2 linked regions of the Medicago truncatula genome follow. The protein of the gene in region 2 interacts with the protein of the main gene of each other region in a pairwise test. Links are inferred from orthologs where the notes say so. Each region holds a gene or a part of one and is shown on either strand. Other genes may lie near its edges. The genes, in order: protein GID8 homolog and dual specificity protein phosphatase 1.

Region 1 (11,638 bases), on a different chromosome or scaffold from region 2:
AGTATAAAACCACTGGAACAGCTATCTAGGATAAAATACTAACATCAATGTTATCAAACATTTTTCCATTAAAGTAAATACACAATTTTTAACGACAATGACCACAATCATTTCATCTAGAACCTAAAATCTTCAAATTGGAATTGGAATGTCACAAGTATTTAAACAGCATCTTCTAATGCAGCTGTGGATAGATCATTTATGCGAGGAAAAGCAGCTTTCTCATCCAGCTGGTTTTGGGCCCATATCAACATCTTCAGCAAGCTAGGAAGTTTTGGATCTGATTAAAAGAAAGAAAAAAACAATATTAAGGAAAATCTAGGGCGTTGAATTACCAAATTCTTCAGTAAAAACATATAGCAGAGTAAGTTGAAGATTATCCCGTGAGCTTAGCTCATTTGGTAGGGATATTGCATTTTATATACAGGGGTCGGGGTTCGAACCCCGAACACTCCACTTCTCCACAATTAAATTGTGTGAGCTCTAGCCTAGTGGCTACTTGACAAAAAAAAAAAAAAAAGAGTAAGTTGAAGATTTGTAACAGTTTAGAAACAATAATCCATAGCCGCAGAACACAACACATGACAGAATAACATAAATACAATCAAGTGCATAGAGAGATAAGTCCGCAAAATACACGATTAAGATTGAAAGAAATAAAACAAATTGAAGTCTAACAGCAGCAACCCAGTGATACTTCAAACTCAGTTCTGGATCTTAGCTTGTTATCATCCTCGTATATTATACACTTCATTATCCGCGTGTTGAGCATGAACAAAATGGTTTGTCATATCAAAAAAAGAAAGAAAAATCCAATGGATTTTCAAGTCAAATGGATTCTGTTAGTAATAAGCCTCCTACGGGCAGAACTTATATAAGTAAATTTTTATTTAATATATTGTATAATTATTAGTAATATTAGATATTAATAACTGTTATCTGCATAACTTCTATGTAACTGAAGGAGTTAGCATTATAAATAATGATGCAGAGGGAAAGATTAGCATTTGGTAATTTGGATAAAGGATTGGTAGGGAGAGACCAAGGCTCTTGAATTCTTGGAATGAGTGACCAATACTCACAAATTTCTTGAGATCCTATTGTAGTATTACTATTAATTTGTATTTTGGTATCAGTTTCTATCAGATTCCAATCATAATTTGGTTGCAGAAGTTGAAAACCACAAAGCAAAATCTTTCCAGATGAATAGATGTAGAACATATATTGCCATTCAAAAAAAAAAATGAGGGACATATATAAACATAACATGAATTCCCAACGGCATGCAAAGGAAATCAACTGAACTACTAGTACTAGAGTTAGACAAATTGTGAAGGGTTTTGGTAGTTTGCATCAGGTTGTCGCATGTTTAAAACATATTGCCACCATGGTATACCAAAAATGTTAAGAATACAACTAGCTACAAAATGATTGATCCTGGCATATGAATAATAGTAAGCCTTCTCGGCATTCCTTAGAATCTAGATTTATCAAAGCAGGCAAATATTTCAGAAAGTTAACCGCTTACAAGCGCTACAATAAAGGAATAGTGGCTGTTTAACTGGGGTGAATCTAGCAAAGCTTGTATTTATGCACACAAAAAAAAACAGCTTTTTGAAGCAAACACAAACCTTTTTCGTGACTCTGGCTTGTAAGTATAGCTGCATTCACCTCACTTGCTGTTTTTAGACGCTGTGATATGTCAAGAAGCTCTCCAACTGGACAGTTAGAGACATCTTCAAAGGCAAGCAGTGCAACAGTCCTCTCCAATTCTTCCAAAAAGCTTTGCTGGAACCCAAATTTCAAGCTAGTGTTAGCATCAAGTTCTTCCAAAAAAAATTGAAAAAGCATAGATATTTTAGTTCCTATTTTGCTTTTTCCTGACTATAGGCAATCATTGCTTTTTCCTATTTCACTGTTAATAACCCGTCAATAAAAATGCCAGAAATACTTCCGCAATGAAGATATAATATGACAATATACACGCGAAAAAATTCATTAGAATGGTTTACATTTTCCTCTCCCCTTGGGGCAAGCTCCTCCTGTGCAAACTCTAAAGCTTCTTCTATTTTTCCATTCCGGATTAGTTCGATCAACCGCTGCTGTTGAAGATGGAAAAATAATTGGGGGTTTGTGTCTAGTATCTGTAGACAGTATTACACAATGAATGTTAATTTTATAGAACATGTGGATAAGACAAAGATCAATGAATGCTCTGATGAGTACAAAATGTTTTGTGACTTCTACATACATTAGGAATGGGGGGGGGGGGGGGGGGAGGGTGACAAGGACAAAAAGAGGGAGTTGTCACCAAAAAAACTAATGGAAAATGAGATCTCCACACAATTTTTCATTAAAAAAAACAAATCTTTTATGACACCAAATGGACCTATAAAAAAATTGAGAAAAAGTGAAAAAAATATAAGGGGTGGAAAACAACAACTTTGAAGCCCAGTGAAAAGAAAATAAATAGGACTAAAGAAGATAATCCAAATTTAATATCAGTACTTTTATGCAAGTTATATCCTCTTTTATCAAGATCCCACATCAACTGGAGTTATGGCCAGAGTACTTCATATGAAGCACAAGCAATCCTCGCCTTTTGAGTTAGCTTAAGATGCTAGGTTGAGTCTAACAAAGTCTAAGACAGCATCAAAGCCTACCCTAGTTGTTAATGAGCCATCCACATTTGTCCATACTCCAAAAGTCTAATATTGGGTTTGAAGGGGTGGGTTTAGTTCCCATATCCACTAGCTATATTACAAAAGCAGCTCTTGTGAGATAGCTGTTGGAATTGAGCTAGGTCTAGTCCAAATTCTAAGACCTCTATTGCTGATATTCTTATGATATCATCCTAATAAGCACACGATGTTAAGCAATTAAAGATAGTATAGTACGACAAACTTGAAAGGGTATGTTGAGATCCTGCATCAACTATAAATATGGCCAAATTAGTTCTCTTATCTTAAGCTACAACACTCGAGTCAGCTTTTGGGATTGAGTTATAGGTCTAACCCGAACTTTGAGACCTATGTTGTTGACATTTTTATGGTGCCCTCATAAGCATGTGAGTAAATCAAGCAAGGGTAGCAGGGCAGGAGAGAGCAAGGTAACTGTAAAAATTAGGAATCTTCAGATATTCCTTTAATTGTACAACTTCCTAGATTGATTGTTATTACTCCTAGAGCAAGGGAGTTGGTGCTTACAGTACTCATCAAGCATTCAATGCAATTATTGTAAAACCATATAAATACAAGGTGTGTGACCTCATTATAGACACAGAATTTACATATTTTGAGGAACTAAAATGCAATTATTGTAAAACCATATAAATATACAAGGTGTGTAATCTCATTATAGACACACATAGTTTACATATTTTTACAGTAACTAAATAAAAGAGGCGGTGTCATGTCCTATTTAAATTCTGCATCAATTTGACCATAGTCATGCATTATGTGCATTGCTCATTAAAAGTAAGAAAGAATAATATAGATAGAAAGTGGCACTTCGCAGTTATAATGAAATTGGGGGAAAAAGTGATATGAGAATGAATTCCTTGAAGCATCTGGAAGAATGAAATTCCTTCTCGTATAAAAAGGAATTGCAAGCTCACCTCGGGATTTAAGTCATTGACTTTCTCGATTGCATCTTCAACATTACCACTTTGTACTGCCTTCTTAACGGCCATCCGATCAGTTATTGTAGCAAGATCAATGTCAGCTGAAGATCATTAAGGGCAAGCATAGATTGATTTACAAAAAAGATTCCCCCCTCCCCCAAAAGAAGAATAATAATAATAATAAGAAAAAAGGATACGCTCAGTTCCAGACTCCTTGCGAAATTTCTCTGCAGCGTCAACAAAGCCCTCGGTAACAAGGAAATTCATTACCAATTTATTCATGTCTTCTTTCCTAATCTTGACATTGTTAAGCTTTTTTTCCCACTCTTCCCTTGTTATCACTTTCTTTGATGCCGCCTTTACACATGTATTTCAAAGATGAAAATCATTAGTTTACCATTACCATGAAACACATGGGAATCACTACATTTCCATCACCCATGATGCACAACATTGTCTACAACCAGTTCAAATATAGAAACACTTCTAAGAAAAAGACTATTTGACTCTTTATAAAACACACTTCCGTCTTATGCAAAATGACAGAAATTGATGCATCATTTTGTTTTGCTAAACGTTTACATGCAAGAAAACAATTCAATAACCTTCCATGTAAACTACAAATTCATATCTTCACTTTCCACAACATTTCTAAAAATCAAAACTCAAAATAAAACAAATCTGAACTCCTTTTCTAAACCTCTTTAAAATCACAACAAAACGGAATGTAAAAAGAAAACATCAGGACTCTTAACAACATCAATAACCAAGCCTTATCCCACAAAGTGGGATCCACTATATGGATCAAACGACGCCATAATGTTCTACCGTATATCATTTCTATATCCAACTCGTTAATCTCTAGATATTTCTTTATAGTTTCTCGTATAGTTTTTATGTCTTCCTCTATGATCTACTCTCTTTACTACATAATTTACAAGTCTTCTCTCTAAATGCCCAAACCACCTATAGTCAAGTTTCCACCATCTTTTCTGTGATAGGTGTTAGTTGCCCCGACACTCTCTAATATTGTCGCTGCTAATCCTATCTGGTCCACACATCCAACGCAACTTCCACCACCAGAATTCTTTAACAAGCACAAATTAAAGATCTTCGCAAAAACCCACATTAAAGATTTATACCTTACAACAATTAACAAAAAAAAAAATCGAAATCCACATATAAAATTCGGGGGAAATTAAGATAAACAGTAATGAGATAAAGTGAATATCAATCCACACATACCATTGCCTCAATTTGTGCTAGCTGACGAATAACAATCCAAAACAATGACATCAGTGAACACGCACAGACCTCATTGTAACCCTGAACGACGCACCAATCCTCAAGATTTGAATAATTCAATCAAAACTGCAAAAACAAAATCTCACATTCTTCGGATCAATAATTTGAAAATTGAAACCCTAATAATTAACGAAAGGGAAAAGTTCAGAAAGAAGAAGAGAGAATTCACCTCAAATTGGAGAATTCTAGAACTTCGATTTCAACTTCTTAAGTCGTAGTATGTACGGTTCTCTGAATTCCGAGAACTTGTTTGTTCGATCTTTTGCGATGATTGAGTTCGGATTCCGCTGTTTTTGTATGGGTCGGGTTTGTTTTTATAGGTTTTAACAGTAGAGCCTATTGCTATCCACACCCCCAGTATCACACATAATATCTCCCCTTCGATAAATTTAGCTCCAAAAAAAAAGTGCGAATATCTAAAACAGATGAACAACGTATAATATATAATTGTTTTGATGTATCAAGAGTAACATTAAAAAAAAATTAAAAATACAAAAAAGAAATTAAAATAAGTGACCTTCTAAACAAAATTTACCTTAGATCTTTATGTTTGTGGTGTCTCTCATGCAGTGTGAGAAGATGATGTAGATAACCTTTACAAAATCTATAATAAGGTTGACCTGGTAATTTTATGTGTTAATTAATTTCATTGACAATGTATGTGAATGTATATGACGTATTTGAATTGTTTTCTTTTAAAAAATGTGCATTAAACATGTTTGCTCTAAGAACAATGTGGTGCAAGCAGTTATTACATGATGCCTTGGAAAATAAAAATCTTGACATAACAACGATGAGTGAACTTTTACGACATTTTACTTTGTCAGGTCATTTTACATATATTAAGAAAAGTATATATAAATAAAATAGAGATAAAAAATATTTTTACTAGATACTATTATCAAAATATTTGTGTTTCGTCACCATAACAAATGAAAAGTAGAAAATACTAAATTAAGAGAGATGCAAGTGATATCAATTAAAGGGTATAACTTAAAAAAATAATTAATATTGTCTTGAAAATTTAAAAAGGTTCCTTATTTTGAAACAATTTATTTTTTATAAATAGATCACTTATTATGGAACGAAAACAATATGTGTGTGACATCAAAATACAACTTCAAGATTACATATTAAGGACCCATTTGTTATAGTTTTTAAAAATAATATTTATATTGTTTTATTTTTTCGCCTATAATTTTTTCAACAAATTGTTTTTTAAGGAAAGCTTTAAATGAGATTTTTTTCAGAAGCTTAAAATAAGAAGTTATTTTGAACAAGTGGTCATAAAAATTATTTTCGAGAGATATATTTTTTTTAAGAAAAATTTGTGACTTATAACAATTCAGCTCACCTCAATGAATTTGAGACATAATTTCTCAATGTAGGAACATCTTGATTACAAAGTCCGACTTTAGAGTGTTGTATATTACGAGGCAAACAAATGAAGTGACCCATAACATAGCTAGAACTTCTTTATCACAACCTAGCGCCCATAATTTTCATCATGTGCCAACTACTTTCTATTCCTTGATTATGAATGAAATGAACTAAGGTTATCCTTGTTAAAAAGAAAAATTCTAATAACGAATATTTAAGTCTGTGAATGTCAACATTACACCGCTTTTAATTTCTATTAAATGAGTTTGAAACAACTTATATTATTTTTTAGTAAGTTTTCTTAAAAATAATTTCTAGAAATACAAAAAAATAATCTTTTAAGAGTTAAATATGATATAGTGCCTAAAAAGGTTTTGTGAAAACCCTATGGAATAAAGGTATTAGGGAGACTTGTGTCAGAGCTATCAATGACATGTATGAGGTGGTCTCGACTAGTGTGAGGATACAAGGTAGAGACACCAAAGATTTTTTCATAATAATAGGATTGCACCAAGGTTCAACACCAGACCCTTATATTATCACCATAATTTTATATGTATGTGACAACAGGTTGAAGGAAGAACTAAAGAGAAGGTTGAAGACAACAGGTTAGAAATGAAAAGAGAATTAAGAATTATATTGTAATTTTACCAACGGGTTAGACCATGGTCGGTTTTAGGCAAGTGCAACAATGCCCTTAGCATAACTCAAACTTAGGCGACCTTAAATTATGGGTTAGTGCTCGTTTGTTATAAATTAAAAATATAGTCAAATATGTTTTCAACCCCTGTAAAATCACGAACATTTACATTTAGTCCTTGTTAAATTTTAATAGTAATTTCAATCATCTATAATATTGGAGTTAGTAAGAATATTTCTTATTTTAAAAACTCTTATTCCTCAAAACAAACTTGCCATTTTCTTTACCATCAAATTATCACCTTGTACAAATATCTGCTAATATAAATTTTAACATGTATAACCGACCCTAATTTTTTACTGAGAAAAACTTTGTCTTCCCTCTAAGTTTTTTTCCTCTTCCACTCGTCGAGGAGGGGTGATTTTAGGTCAATTTTTGACCTAGAATCACCCCTTTGCATCTTTTTTCCCCTTTATTTCAATCTAAATAAGTGATTTTCACATACATCAAGTTTTTCTTTCGTGTTTTTTCGTGATTTCGTCGTCTTAGTGCGACGTTGTGTTATTTGTCGTCTTGTGCGGCGTTGTTTGATTTAGCATCCTTTGTTGTGCGGTGTTCGTTTGGTTTGTATTGAAATATCAACTTCAGACAATCACAAATTCAATCAATGATTTGGGCGTTAACGTTGCAGATCCAGAAGCATGGGTATTCTGGTGATTTATATTTCATCATATTATTTGTAGTCATTTTGCCGTTGTATGCTATTAACTTGGGTGCTGTGAGTTTATTCGCAGATTCACCCTATACGTTTTTAGCGATATTGATCATGTTATTGTCTCTGATGTATTCTATCAATTTGAATGAATGAATATTCTTTATTTTTGTTATTTATTTTTTTTTAACATGTATACGAATTTTGTAACTCCCTTAAAAGAAGCGGTTACGTAACCGAAAGTTGGTTACTTTTTTTTTTTTAACAACAAATAATACTTGAATTTTTTTTAAGACATTGATATATACTCCCTCCATTTTTTTTATGTTCTTTTTAGAAAATTAACATCAAAACAACGATGTGTATTTTTGCACATTTTCTTCCTATTATACCCTCATTTTAATTCATCAATAAATTCCTACTTTTTGCACACATTTTATATTTTCAATCAATTTAATATGTTATCTTTCTCTCTTAACAAACAATTGTCAATTTTCTAAATATTGTGCACATCTTTTTGATTATTTTAAGTCAATATAAAAATTATTCCAACTTCACATTAATCAAAAGTTAAGAAAAAATTAACTTTCTTCCAACTCCTTTAATCAAAGTTAAGGCTTCAACTATGGCTTCAACCAATGCTAGAGTCACACTTGAAATTTTTAATAATTGTTACTTATCTTATTTTTAGAATTTAAACTCTTATTGGAACCATTGTTTGGAACAAAATTTGTTTAAATTTGAAGATAATGAGAAACAAACTTTAGTTTTTCAAATAGATAGCAATAATTAGTTTTATTGAAAAAATAAAAGTAATTGACAAATTCTATAATTGACAAATCTTACCCTGAAAATATCAAAAAGACAGTTAAATAGAAACGAAAAATTCACTATAAAGAGACGCTTAAAAAGGAACGAAAGGAGTATAAAACTGTGTTTAAACCGAAAATTCTATGTTTCTCGACATTTAAAATGTGCAAGATCATTTGCAAAATCTTCTTGAAAAAACAAAACATCACCGCAACTAATTAACATTTTTCCTATTTTTTCTCAGCAATTAGCAATTTTCTATTTTTTAAGGATGTAAGCTTCTGTCGACATTTATCATTAAAGTTGGTTGAGTGTGTTTACCATTCATCCAACCGATATCAGTTCTCATGATCTACAGTTTGGTGACATACATGTTTTCAAAAATGATATTCAATTTAACTTTCACGTGATTTGGTTGATTTGCATATGAGTCATTTGAAAAGAGTGCAACTCTAGATTTTTTTTTTTTCTTTTCGCAATAAGCAAACCTCTCAAGATCAACTTTTTGACCACATCAATCTCCATTATTGGCGGTGGTTAAAAACTTACAAATCTTGTTATTTTTACGATTTGCATTCTTGGTGGTCCGATCCGTCATTTTGGACGATTTATTATGTATACTGATACATTGTTTCCATACGTATTAGACACTTATTGTGCTTTATATGTTTTTATATTTTTATATTTTTTTCAAATAAAAATGTTTTTATATAATAATTATTGTGCTTTTGGCTTCTTAAAAAAATAAATTTCAATTAAATGATACCAACAAAATAGAAATTAAGTGAAAATCTAATAACAATTTCCTTAATTTAAACGTAATTTATTAATCACCAAATAAAAAATAATTCAAAATTCAATGTACAATAAAAGAGCACATCAATATAAAAAAAAAACCGTCAAATAAAATGTTAAAAAAAAAAAGAAGAAGAAAAAGATAGACTAGAAAATGAATGAGAAATGGAAAATTCGAAAATGACTCATGAGGAATCCAACTCCTAGTAACACACACAGTTATAGTAATAGCAGCCACTAAAACGACGTCGTATTGATTGATTTATTCATAACCGCGCGCTCACTATAACATGCGCACATCTCTTAACATGCGCACCCTCTTACGTATCCCAAACCCTATTTAAACCTAACTTGACACAATCCACGATTCAACTTTGTCTTCTTTTTTCCTTTCTCTCTCTAATAACTTTCTCTCTCTAAACAAAAAGTCGCAAATTCACATCACGAACCTTCTCAGAAACCTCCATTGATTCTTCACGAAATTGCCATAATCCATTTTCTTTCTCGCTTTGGTCTCTTCGGAGAATGCGATACAACGCGTTGTTACTTTTAGATTTCGTGAATCAGTTTCGTAGTTTTGGAAAAAGCGAATTAGGGTTTTGATTTCAATTCAACATGGCGGATGATGGATTTCAATTTTCGACACTGTTTGCTGATGATGATTCCGATGATGAAAAGCTTGCAATGGATATTGAATCGTTTCTCAGCGTTCTTGATGAAGATTGTGTTCCTTCAGAGGTAGGGTCACTGTGAATTACGATTGGGTTGTGGAATTCAACTATTCACGGTTTGATTGTACTTGCATGTATATTTTTTCTTTGATTCAGTAGGATTATTTGATTTGCAGTTTGTTTTTTGAAATTTTACTGTTAAATTGGTTTCCTTTTGCGTTTTGATTTGTAATTATTTTTCAAAGATTGGATTTTTACTATGATAAACAATGTTGTCAATTGCTGGTAGCGGGAAATAGTAGATTTTAAAAATTCGGCTATTCGCCGCTGTAGATGTCATAAACACCGATGATGAATGAAGGGAAAAGGGAAATTATTGGCCGATTCACGTAAATATCTATTTTATATTTTGTCTAAGGTTTTCATTATGAGTGTTACAACTTTGGAGATTTTAGGCACATTAATTTACGTATGTAGATACTGAATAAGTAGCTCTGAAGTGGTTTAAGCCCTGTTTGGATAAACAGCTTATAGCACAAACGCTTAGCGCTTATGTATAAACAAATTATTTTCAGCTTATAGCACAAGTGATTATCATGAAAAGTGCTTATGTATAAGCATACATAAGCTGTTTTTACAGCAAGGGATAAAATAAAGTTGAATTGGTTTTGTGTATGCTATAAGCTATTTTCAAGCTATATTGAAGATCTATAAGCTATTTTTAAGCTATCTTGAAGAACTTATGAAAACGAGCTGAAAAAGCTTATGAGAAATGTCATTAGCTGTTTTTTTTTTTTAAATTCTCCCCAACAGTCTCACAAAACTTACGTCAGTAGATAAGCTCAAATAAGCCAATCCAAACAAGCCCTTAGTTTAGTAGAAAAAATCCAGTGCAATTTTTTTACAAGGAAATTCAAGTCATGCTTTGTCCGAGATTCGAATCGTTGTTACTATAGTCAAACCAGTTTTGCTAAAATTGGAGGAACGTCCGGAGTTTTAGAATCCCTACCGTGAAAGCCAGCTTTGATATTTAAAAGATGAAAGATTCCTTGAATTGCTTCTGCTGGTTTGATATTTAAAAGATGAAAGATTCCTTGAATTGCTTCTGCTGGTTTGAATGTCTTCATCTTTACACTATATACATGAAGAAATTGTTACATTTTTCCTGTACCTTTGGTCTAGTTCCTTATTGTAACGTAGAAGGATAATTGATATTTATTTTACAATTTTATGTAGTGTCGTGTCACTCATTAATTTTGGTTAAATTTCGGATGTGCTGGGTAAGTAGTTAGTGTAGATTCTCATAGAGAAAAGAGCTCAATTTCTTGTATGGAGACCAGGAAGTCACTGCTTTATGTTACTTTATGCTCCTCTTTGAAAATATACCATTCCTGCTGTCTCTATTTAAATTTTTATTTGAACATCTCACCAATTTTAATAATTTTCTGGATATAATGCTGCAGAGTAGTCCCGAGGATTCTTCATTGAAAGACGTTTCACCTGGTGAATCTGGGATCCATGATGATTTTTTACTTCAAAATGGTATGTAAACTTCTGAGCCCTTTTTTGTGGTGTCATTGATTCTTGACCTTATAGGTTGTAACTGGTCCCTCTAAATTGAGGATTAGGAATTTCTTGAGTTTATTTTCTTTCTGAATTTTGTACGCGTAATACGTAGTTGTTAATATGTTAGAGCAGATTGT
Region 2 (10,892 bases):
TGAGTTATATTACTCGGGATAATGGGCCAATTCTCCTTTCATTCAATCATCGTGTGGGTGGAAGTGACCATCACGGGTCTTTCCTGGTTGGAACCTTTGGTGTTGCCCATGGGTAGACAAGAGGTGGTAATTTCTTCTCATCATGTGCTCACAGGTTTTAATCAGAGTGTGCACGGTAGCTCCCAGTCGTGGAGAGGAGATGATATTTACCCTTTCTTTTATCAGTTTGGGTCAACAACGAGTGTGGGCAATCCGATATTGGACTTGCCTAATTGGGTTCAGCTTGGATATACTGAACAATATCCACTTCAAAAACTCAAGTACTATTAGGTGCATCCCTTGAAAATAAAACAGAAAAATGTTCCAAAAAGCTCAAGAATACTCTCAAACAAAAGCTGCTATTTAAAAATTGAGTACTCGTTGCAATTATTTTAATATTTTGGTTTTCGTAAATGTTTCTGGAGAAGTATATCCCCTCTAACAAAGTTAATTTTTCCTAACAGGCCATTTTTCCTAAACACTACAGAAACATGGAATGAGAGAAGACAGATCGAATTCAACATTTCATGAAATAGGCTGGTATGCATAGTAGCAATTCATAGTTGTTATAAACTGGGACTTCCGCACCTGAGGATGAAGTTTCAGTGCCAATCCATAACTGATGCTGCCTTGTCTTCACATGATTGCCAGAGTCACGCTAATCATCTACACTACCTTGTCTGATCACCATCATGTTCTCTATCCAGACACTTCGATATCTTCACAAAAACAAACTAGATACAATCAATGATATGTTCACACAAACTACTTTTAGTTTGAATTTGAATCAGTGTTCATAAAACTATATGAAGAACAAAAGAAATGTGGAGTCCATTAGTGAAGAAAATGAAGGGGGAAAACCATATAAAGAGAACAGCGGTATTTTTAAAGTCAGCGAAGGTATATATAAATTAAAACATAGATCTACCATTTGAAAAACCCAGGAAGATCCAATTTGACAGAATTGCATTAATATTTCATATACATAATGTCATGCATTAAAATTTAGATATTACAAAAAATATAAAATAAAGGAAAGAGATATGTTCAAATCAAAGTTTCACAGAAAAATGAGCACATATGCTTAAATATCTGATAAAGATCATAATGAAATAGAGACACACACATACACACACGAATATAGCTTATATGCTTATAAGACATGATCGTTAGTCAAACTCTTATGTGATTGTATCATTCTTTATGCAAAAATTGTATGACAATGGTAACAATGATGTTTAGTGGATAATTATAAAACCCTTTATACTTCCTTTACCATGCACACTCTGCTAGATTACTATATTATATACAAGTCAATTTTCTTTCAGTTTAAGCAATAAGCATTATAAAAGCTTTTATGTAAAGTGAAGTGACTCCTTATATTTTACACAAGCTCTTACATGTGCTAAATGTAAATCGTAAATGTATCTTCATGGCTATAGAGGTGTATCCATTTAATATCTATATAAGATCTAAATGTATCTTATATATATATATATATATAGGGATTTGCTAGAACACACCCACTAGTTTTTATGTGGGAGTGTTTTAGTAAGTTATAACTAAAAAGTTAATAAATACACCTTAAGGTGTATGTTGCTGTAACACACCTTCTAAAAAAACAAGTGGGTGTGTTCTAGCAAATCCTATAGGCATTTGCTAGAATACACCCACTTATTTTTTAGAAGGAGTATTTTAGCAAGTGAATAACTAAAAAGTGGTTAAATACACCTTAAGGTGTAGCTTTGCTAAAACACTCCCACATAAAAATTAGTGGGTGTGTTCTAGCAAACCCCATATATATATATATATATATATTGGCATGTTGATGTTTAATTATATTTAAGATTAATACAGTTTTAACCTTGAAGAGATTTCTCAAAGTCTTCCAGCTGACGAATGAAACCACGATTTGGAGTTGCTTGTGGTCTTTTGCATTTTACATGTTGCAGAGCTTCAGATAAGCTCATTCCCCGAGACTTCATCAGATATGCCACAATGATAGTCACACTAGAAGGTGGAAATAAATTAGAACCAAGTTTTTCCAGTTAATCTAATGAAAAAGAAAATAGCCAAATGAACAATATGAATACCAAGATTCTTAGTTCCAATATGACCATTAAAAAAGGAGGTAGTAAAATGCTGCATGAACTTTGTGCAGAATATAAGTGACAGGCCAATAGTAAACAAGGACATAATCATCATTCATGAATCTCAAGCTTACATCCCTAACTTTCCATTCTACATATTAAAAAAATCGATGGCATCTCAATTCATACTATAAAGCATTTTTAGTCTATTTCATTGAGAAGCATGCACACTTCAATTGTCAGTTCAAATGTTTAATATGTCAAAGTTCAAACGGAAAAGATCGACATGAAAGCAGATTTCTGGAAAAGAAAACAATAATGACAGGGAAAACAAAAAAAAAATCATATCTGTAATTTTCAAAGCATCAACAAGGTTTGTCATTTTCCATATATGAAACAATTTGACATTTAGCTCAACAATCATATCCTCAAATTCCACATGGCATCACATATATATGGCCATACTCAGAACATTATTACAATGGATTTCAAGAGATAGTATCATTGAACTAAAGACATAATTAAAAAGCTATAAGCTTCCATGACATTTTCCCAACTTTATAAGCAAAACATAATATCTGCTATTGAATAATAAAAGACAATGATAACAAAATAAAAATGTAAGGATTTTAAGAAACATTGAAATTCAAATATGCAATGTGCTGCTCCCAGTTTTTGCTTGAGAAACAACATTCCAGAAATTTAAACCAAAACAAAACAAAAATGCCTGAGATGATTGAGACATAAAACAGATTTCAACTTATTGACACTTGTCTAAAGTAAAATAATAGTCTGTACAATGAACAAGAAATGATCCTATGTAAGCAAGAGAGAAAGATATAAACAGCGAAACTTACCTCCTCGATCTTCCAGCATAACAATGAACCAAAACACTTCCACCATTACTTTTAGCTTCATCAATAAAATCAAAACACTCTTCGAAGTGTTGTTTTAAGTTGGTATCCTCTTTGTCAGCAACTTCTCAATTTTCCAACAAAAGTGTAACTTTAGTATGGATATTGTGTACTAGATGCCTAAAAAACTTAAGACAAAATTAGAGTGTAATCAATATAATCATAATCAACCTTAATGACAAGCAACATGGACCTGAAATGTTGTGCAGTCTCATTTAATTGATCGCAATATTACACGAGTCGGTTAAAAAGGAACTGACATTCTGAGATGATAACATCTATTATAACAAAATACAATTTCTAAGATAGAAGGAAATTTTTTGACAGCAACTGCATGCTAAACAGATTGAGATCCTCTCTCTAGTACTCGACACATCTAGTAGGAGGGAGAGAGAGAGAGAGAGATGAATAACTAAAAAAAATATTACATCAATTTCTCTCCTATTGAAAATGTCGAGTAATGGAACAATCTCAACACATGCTAAACTTTCAAAGATCAAAGCACGCTTTTTCATAATTGCAAAGAAAATGCTAAACTTTTATAGATCAAAGCACGCAATGGTCATGGAGTCAAGGTTTTGCTCTCCACCTGAACCCGCCTCCCAAAACCCACTCCATTGTCACCAAAATAAAAATTAGGTACCCGACCCTGTCCTAATCGGTGTTCTGTAAAACCCACCCTACCACCACTTCCTTCCTTTTGCCCTATTTTAACATTATTTCTTTAAATAAACCTTACATTAAATGCAATACAACTCAAATAATCCATAAACATGGAAACTGAGAACCTCAATAAGGTAACAAAAGTTAACATCCAAATCATCTTACTAATAAAAATAGGTAACCTCAACCTTATATTTTGACTAATATTGTAACATTATTGATGAAGATATGTATTTCCAAACACACCCTATCCATTTGTTTAGTCCATTATATAGTGAATTCACTTGCATTACTTTGATAGCCACAAAACCAACAGCTCCGAAAGACCAAAATCAAAAAGAATAAAACCGCATCATTGTCAAAATCAGTTCCAGATCATCTATGTAACACCGACATCCCTGATTAAAGGCGTGTCACCGACACCACATTGGATATGTGATTACGTTCAGTTAATTCATTTTCTCAAATTTTTACTAGTGTCAATGTGTCAGTGTCATGTATGGTGACCGTGTGAGTGCAATAAGTAATAATAAAAGAAACATACCATCTATAACTTTATAGACGAAATCGGCAGGATGTGCAGGTGCAAGTTTCCCAGCCACAGTCAAAATGTGAGTAACATTCACATTTTTTAAACCAACCTTGTTCGTAGCAGAACCAACTGAACCCAAAAACAAACCCTAACCAAATATCATTCATCATTAGTTACAAAATTCAGAAGAATAGTGAAGATAATAACAAAATGAAGCTTGATTAAGTAAACTACCTGGTCAATTTCACAAGGAATATTATCCTCTTTCAAGGATTTATTCAAAAGCACAACCTTCAAAATTAATGCAATTTGTTTCTTCATCGATTCGTCGAATTCATTCATAGCTTCTGATGTTGAAGCCATTTCCTAATTCATACAAATTCAATAATCGTATCAGTGTTAACTGTTAAAGATATATAAATAATCGATTGTGATGAATATAATCAAATTCTGGCGAATATAAACACTTGAACTGATAGTACGAAAAGGAGAAGAACTCACCAATAAAGCGTTTACGATTTTGCATAGAGAAACTCCACTTTTTTTTTTTTTTTCTCCTTGCTTGCATATGAGAAGTAGAGAACATTTATTTAGCCCATTAAAATGCCAATTTTAGTCTCTTTTTTTTATATAGAATTTTTTATCCTTTTGAAATTTCTATTTTTAATTTTAATTCTTGCGTTTCATTTTTTAATCTAGCCAAAATTGTTCCACACATAAATCGAAACGAGCTTCATTTGAATAATTTGTCTTTTATGAAATACAAAATTAACTTGAATAAGAAAAAGATATGTACATATATAAAAGTAATTGAGTGAAAAATAATTGGTCATCTCTTCCTCCACAGGTCGAGCTAGAAATTTAACAACGGTTAAGGGGGGACATGTTTAAGTGTGCGTTTGGTTCAGCGGTGGAAATAATTGATTTTGATAGAATTGAGTTTGATAAAATTGATTTTTGAAAAAAAGTGACTTGAATGTGAATTGATTCTTAGAATTCTTGTTATTTGAATGCATAATTACCAAAATGAGTATAAATATCTATTTAAAATTATATTTTGTTTCTATTTTATATAATTATTCAAATTTATGTTGCATTATCAATTTAATTATTTGTAGATTAGAAAAACTTCTAAAATAAAATGCATGTTAATTTGATACTTTAATTTGAATTAGGTATACTATATAAATATTTTTACACATATTAATTAACAAATTTTCTCTTTGTACAAAAAATAACAAATTTTGTCAAATGGTTTTTTCTTAAAAAAGAATCTGTAAAAAATGTAATGGGCTTGCATAAGAGGAGAAATTAACTAATAGGCCTATGAAACCCAATTTCATTTTGTGAAAATTAAAATAAAATAAATAAATACAAACCCAATTCCATCTTTTCTCAAAGAAAGAGAGAGAATGTTGAAGTTTGCTGGGTAACATGAAGGCAGAAACAGGGTCGAGAAAGAATTTGAGCAACAAAAAATTCATCACTTTTGCTGTGTTTTATAAAACTTTGTCGAAAAATGAAAAAGAATATCATGGGTAATTTAGGAAAGTACATCAGCCACCAAAAGTTGAATTCCTAAATTGCTTTTGAAAAGCTCCAACTTTTAGCTTCTGGTAAACGTGAGTTTGGGGGTTGAATCACTTTTGCAGTTACCCAAACACCACAAAAATAGAAAAACTGCTTTTGAGTGCTTCAGACTCACGTTTGTACCCACAAAACGGGTAACCAAACGAGCACTAAAAGATATTTAGTTAAACAAAACAAAAAATCTCAAATGCACTACATATATAAGAATTTTAATCTACATTTTATGTTTTTTTTTTAATAAATCTACATTTAAAGTTAATATTAGGAGAAGAGAGAAAAATTATATTTACTTATTTGATTTAGTTTATGAAAGTTACTCTTCTCAATTCCCCAATTTTCTATTTTCGCAATTGTTGTGGGTCGAGTGACACTTAACTATCGTTCACCTCTCCAATGTACCGCTACGAGTATTTTGGTATTTTCAAATGGCAGGGAGAAAAAATGGAAGTGAGAAGAAAAAATATCTTATTTTATTCTATTGTCGCTTTTATAATTGACATACTTAAAGGGTTCTTTTTTTTCATAAATGACAAATGCTCAATGTTCAAATAATCGAGGACTCCAACAAAAGAGCTAATGACGGGGGACCACGTTCACAATACTAGTGAAATAGCATAAAATTAGTAGTATAAAATTTTTAAGAAAAAAATTGGGGGGGGGGGGGGGGGACGACCTCCCTTGGCCACCCCATTACCTTTGACCTTGCTTCTCTCTTTTCCAAACCTTAATCGTCACCAATTTTTTTCTTCTTCACTATCCTAGAAGGGTGAAGATACTTGAATAAACAACTATACTGATGTTTAAAAAAAACAGCTATATTGAGTAATTTAATAAACTATTGACTAATTTAATACTACCATATCGTCAGATGCTAAAAAAATAATTAATGAGTGTAGATCTCTACAAATTTTTGCACCTCTCGCTATCTCTTCTTTCACTCTTTTCTTCATCAGCTGCATTAATATACCTAAACCCAACACCTTTGTGTTTTAATCAATAGAAAATTATATTTTTATGTGGTTTTTCTGCTGTTGAATGTTACTCCTGCTCATCTATATTGTACATGTGATTATTTTGTTTTGTTTTTGTCTGTGAATGATATTTAAGAGAGGATCATTTGAATTGTAGATCTGGTTTGGTCACAAGAAAACCTCTTTGTAGTGTATCTTGAGGGTGAAGGTTCCTCTAATGATTTGTGTTTGAAAATTATCACAACTTTAATTTAATCATATCATCATATATATCTATATAAAAATATAAAGCTATGGTGTTCAACATTCTTGCTCCTTCTTTATGCTTTTCACATTTATTTTAAAACTTGTCACGCTAAATGACTTTGATGAGTGCGTCGGTTTATCATAATGAGTGTGTGAACTGTGATATATAAGTGGTATAAAGAATTTCCTAAAAAAAAAATGTAAAGAAAGAAAAAAAAGTAAAGATTTTAGGTGTTGGGTGTTCTTTATCTTCTTTTCACTAATAAAAAAAAGGTTAAATATGTTTTTAATCCCTATAAATATATCAACTTCTCATTTTAATCCCTCTAAAAAATTTCTTCGACTTTTAGTCATCGCAAAATTTTGCATCTTCACTTTTAGTCTCTCATTTTAAGTAAACTCATATATCTAGAATTCATATTTTTGAAGAAAATTTTACATAAAAATTTATAATATTATAGAATCTCTCCAAAAAACAATTTGAATTTTTTAACAAAACATAAATTAAATATGAATTTTTATATTTTTTGCGGTTAAAAACTCATATTTAACTCATGTTTTGTTAAAAGAGAGATTTTTACAAGGGTTAAATATGTTTTTAGCCCTTAAATTTTGCATGACTTTAAAAGCATTTATTAAAATGTAAGGACTATTCTTCAAAGTCACGCAAAATGTAGGGACCAAAAACATATTTAATCTTAAACTAATTGGGATCTACTAACTGTCACATCAGCATTCCGTTAAAGAATTAACAACAATGACTAATTTTGATAACGGAGATAAAATGTGAGGATTTTAAAAAGGTTTAATGAAATGTATGGACTATTCTTCAAAGGGACGCAAAATGTAAGGACTAAAAACGTATTTAACCCTTTTTACACAATTTCATTAAAAAATACATGAGCCGATTTAAAAATAAAGACCAAAAGTGATGATTGAAATTTTATAAGGACTAAAATCTTGAACAAAAATTTTAGGTGACTAAAATAAAAATTTAGTATATTTATAAATTATAGGGATCAAAAAAAGATTTAACCTAAAAAAAAATGGTTCCCTAATATTGTCATACAAGGTACAGTTTATGTTAGTACAAAATCAGAATCTTCAAAGCTTGGAGATGTTTACAGACATTAGCTTTTGAACCAATGTAGAAGTAAATCATAGGTGATAAGTCTTTTTTGTCTGCACTTTATGTCAAAATTGGGTTTTCTGTATAGGCTTTCATCAATTCAGTTTGCAACTGCTGAGGTGTTGAAATATTTTATTCCTCAAGATTATTAAAACATGAATGAGCAAGCTTAACTTGTATCTCTGAGTATTCAATTGCTGCAATATTTGGAAGTTTGCACTGCAATGTTTTGTATTCAAATTAGATTAAACAACTTGTATTTCTTAACTTTACATGGATTGCTAAATAGGAAAGCGAGAAGTGGTAACTGAATACTTTTGCGAAAGAGAAAAGTTGTAAAACCAAGAAGAAGGGTAAGGTACTACCACCGTATCAATCAAAGTTAAATACTAAAAACTTCCTACAATTTCAACACACCGACTCCAAAATATTCTAGTATCTTTTACAAAGCAAGAACATCCAAAAACAAAATGCCTGGATATACAAAGGAAAAAGAAACTGAGGCATCTTGAATAGATGTTCATGTACTGTGTCCTTCAAATTCAATTGCATGCTGCCTTTATTTTCACTTGCTTTCTATTGTAATGTCTGAAGTTAAATGTTTGGAATAACGATGATCATTAAAGTGTGTATGCATCTCGTCCAACCCCAAGTGAATTTTGATTCCTTGCTATTTGAGATTTTTTACATTCACACATTTTAAACTATAAAAGAAAAATTAAAATCTACATATTTTTAAACAATCCAATGTTAATCAATCCTTTACAATATCCCAAATGCGTGAACGCGGAAAATCTTAGTTAGATGAAAATTCCTACCAAATAAATAAATAGAGGGAGAGGTTAAAGTTGAACGATAATGTAAGAATCAAAACCTTCCCTTCTGGTCAAAACTTCTCAACACCTACACTCCATTATTAATTTCCCTTACCATACAAAAATCAAAAGCTATATAGAAAAAAGAAAGCATGTGTGAGATGCAAACTGCAACTGAAATTGTACTCTTCTAGGTGAGACTCAATAAATACTCCCTCCCCAACCCCACTTACTTCATTGTGCAAATTCATTCATATTCTCTAATAATCAATCACTGTCCATGTCCAAACACCATGTGGTTCATCATGTGAAGTCTTCAACATATATGAAAGTGGGTTTTGCATGGCTGCCCAAGTTATTCCACGTTAGAACCTTAGTGACAGAAATTTGTAAATATCATGTTCCAAATATAGGTAGCCTATTAAACTCACATAAAAAATTTGCCCATCATTATTTCACTCTTATAAAATTTATGACATCAAGTTGTGCCTATCACAATCATATACTAGTATAATAAATTAAATAAATGTTTTTTTCCCTTTAATTAGGATTTGGTGGCATTTGAGGTCAGAAAATGCCTGTAATAGATCCACCTTAGCCATAAAACATAAACTTTTACATTTTAGGTTCAATTTAACCAAATTCTACTTATTAATATTTATGAGAAAAATTTATGTGAGTTAGGTCTTGAAAGCTCGCAGAAATAGGAGAACCTAAAGGATTAAACCAAAAAAATATATAAAGGATTTTAGTAAGTGGGTCTAACTTCTTAATATTTTATAGGTCAAATGCATCTAAAGGTTCTTTAAGTTTTTCGTTTTTTCCAAAGTGGTCCTTTAAGTTTCAAAAGTCTCAAACAAGTCCTTTTAGTTTTTGAATCGTTTCAAACAAGTCCTTTTAGAGGATGATGATGACAAAGAACATTATCCACCATTTGCCATGCCTAAAAAGATGACTAATTTTAAGTGGGTGTTAGGAGTCAGATTTTGTACCAAAGATGAGTTCAAGAAAGCAATTACCAACCATGCTATCTACAATATGACTTGTTTGAAACGATTCAAAAACTAAAATGACTTGTTTGAGACTTTTGAAACTTAAAGGACCACTTTGAAAAAAACGAAAAACTTAAAGGACATTTAGATGCATTTGACCTATTTTATAACATAAAGGATTAAACGGAAAAAATATAAAGGATGATAATGTTACCTGATTATAACAAAATGATTAAATCAAAAAAACAAAAGTGTTAATTAAAATTAAATTAAGGAAGAAATAGTGTAATTTTGAATTACAACTAACTTGATCACGGTTTAGGCTTTTAAGAATGGAAACAATAATTTGTTTGGAAAAATAAATCTTAAAAATGGAAATTGTGTAATTTTTTTTCCCTAAAAAAAAAAACAAAGAAAAAAACAAGAAACCTTGAACGTGACTCATCGGTGTATCCAGATGGGGCATGCTAACTAGTTTTTTGTTACTTTCTTTTACCCAATTTTGCAGTTAAAATAGGGCATGCATGATTTAATAAGCAAAAGCAGGTGAGATTTAGCATGGGAAAGCATATTGTGTACGTTTGGGGAGGCGTTTTTCTCCTCCAAAACTCTGTTTACACAGCAAAACGTCGTTTCCTTTCTTTTTGTGTTGTTTGGCTGACAGAAAAAGCAATTATGGAATCGTACGTTTGCCTTCAAAACGCCAGTACAGGAGAAGCTGAAATTCCTAGCTTCCACGGCAAATCAAAATCACGTTTGGGTTTCAATTTCTATAGAATGGACGGATCTAATTGATGAAAAAATGGACAAATCTGTGTTTCCACCATAGAATGGGAGAAAAGAGAGTTTTTTTTTTTTAATTAATGAGAAAAAGGAGATTAGATATTGACAATAAATATTTATGGAAGATG

The links.
Region 1: the proteins of dual specificity protein phosphatase 1 (region 2) and protein GID8 homolog interact in binary tests that used the Arabidopsis thaliana proteins (3 or more experiments, as listed by UniProt). The link is inferred for Medicago truncatula from reciprocal best matches to the Arabidopsis thaliana genes DSPTP1 and AT1G61150.

What each region holds. Positions count from the first base shown.
Region 1 is NC_053043.1:3,307,647-3,319,284, forward strand, and holds the start of protein GID8 homolog, read right to left. Parts: upstream 5,254-11,638; 5' UTR 5,097-5,253; intron 4,994-5,096; 5' UTR 4,919-4,993; coding exon 4,868-4,918; intron 3,980-4,867; coding exon 3,820-3,979; intron 3,724-3,819; coding exon 3,617-3,723; intron 2,145-3,616; coding exon 2,013-2,144; intron 1,789-2,012; coding exon 1,632-1,788; intron 281-1,631; coding exon 162-280; 3' UTR 1-161. Other genes in the region: helicase-like transcription factor CHR28, read left to right, coding at 9,880-10,002, 11,399-11,477.
Region 2 is NC_053045.1:56,689,628-56,700,519, reverse strand, and holds dual specificity protein phosphatase 1, read right to left. Parts: upstream 4,867-10,892; 5' UTR 4,740-4,866; intron 4,605-4,739; 5' UTR 4,602-4,604; coding exon 4,473-4,601; intron 4,387-4,472; coding exon 4,251-4,386; intron 3,108-4,250; coding exon 2,987-3,107; intron 2,050-2,986; coding exon 1,904-2,049; intron 759-1,903; coding exon 739-758; 3' UTR 360-738; downstream 1-359. UniProt on the Arabidopsis thaliana protein: Has a dual specificity toward Ser/Thr and Tyr-containing proteins. Dephosphorylates MPK4 in vitro.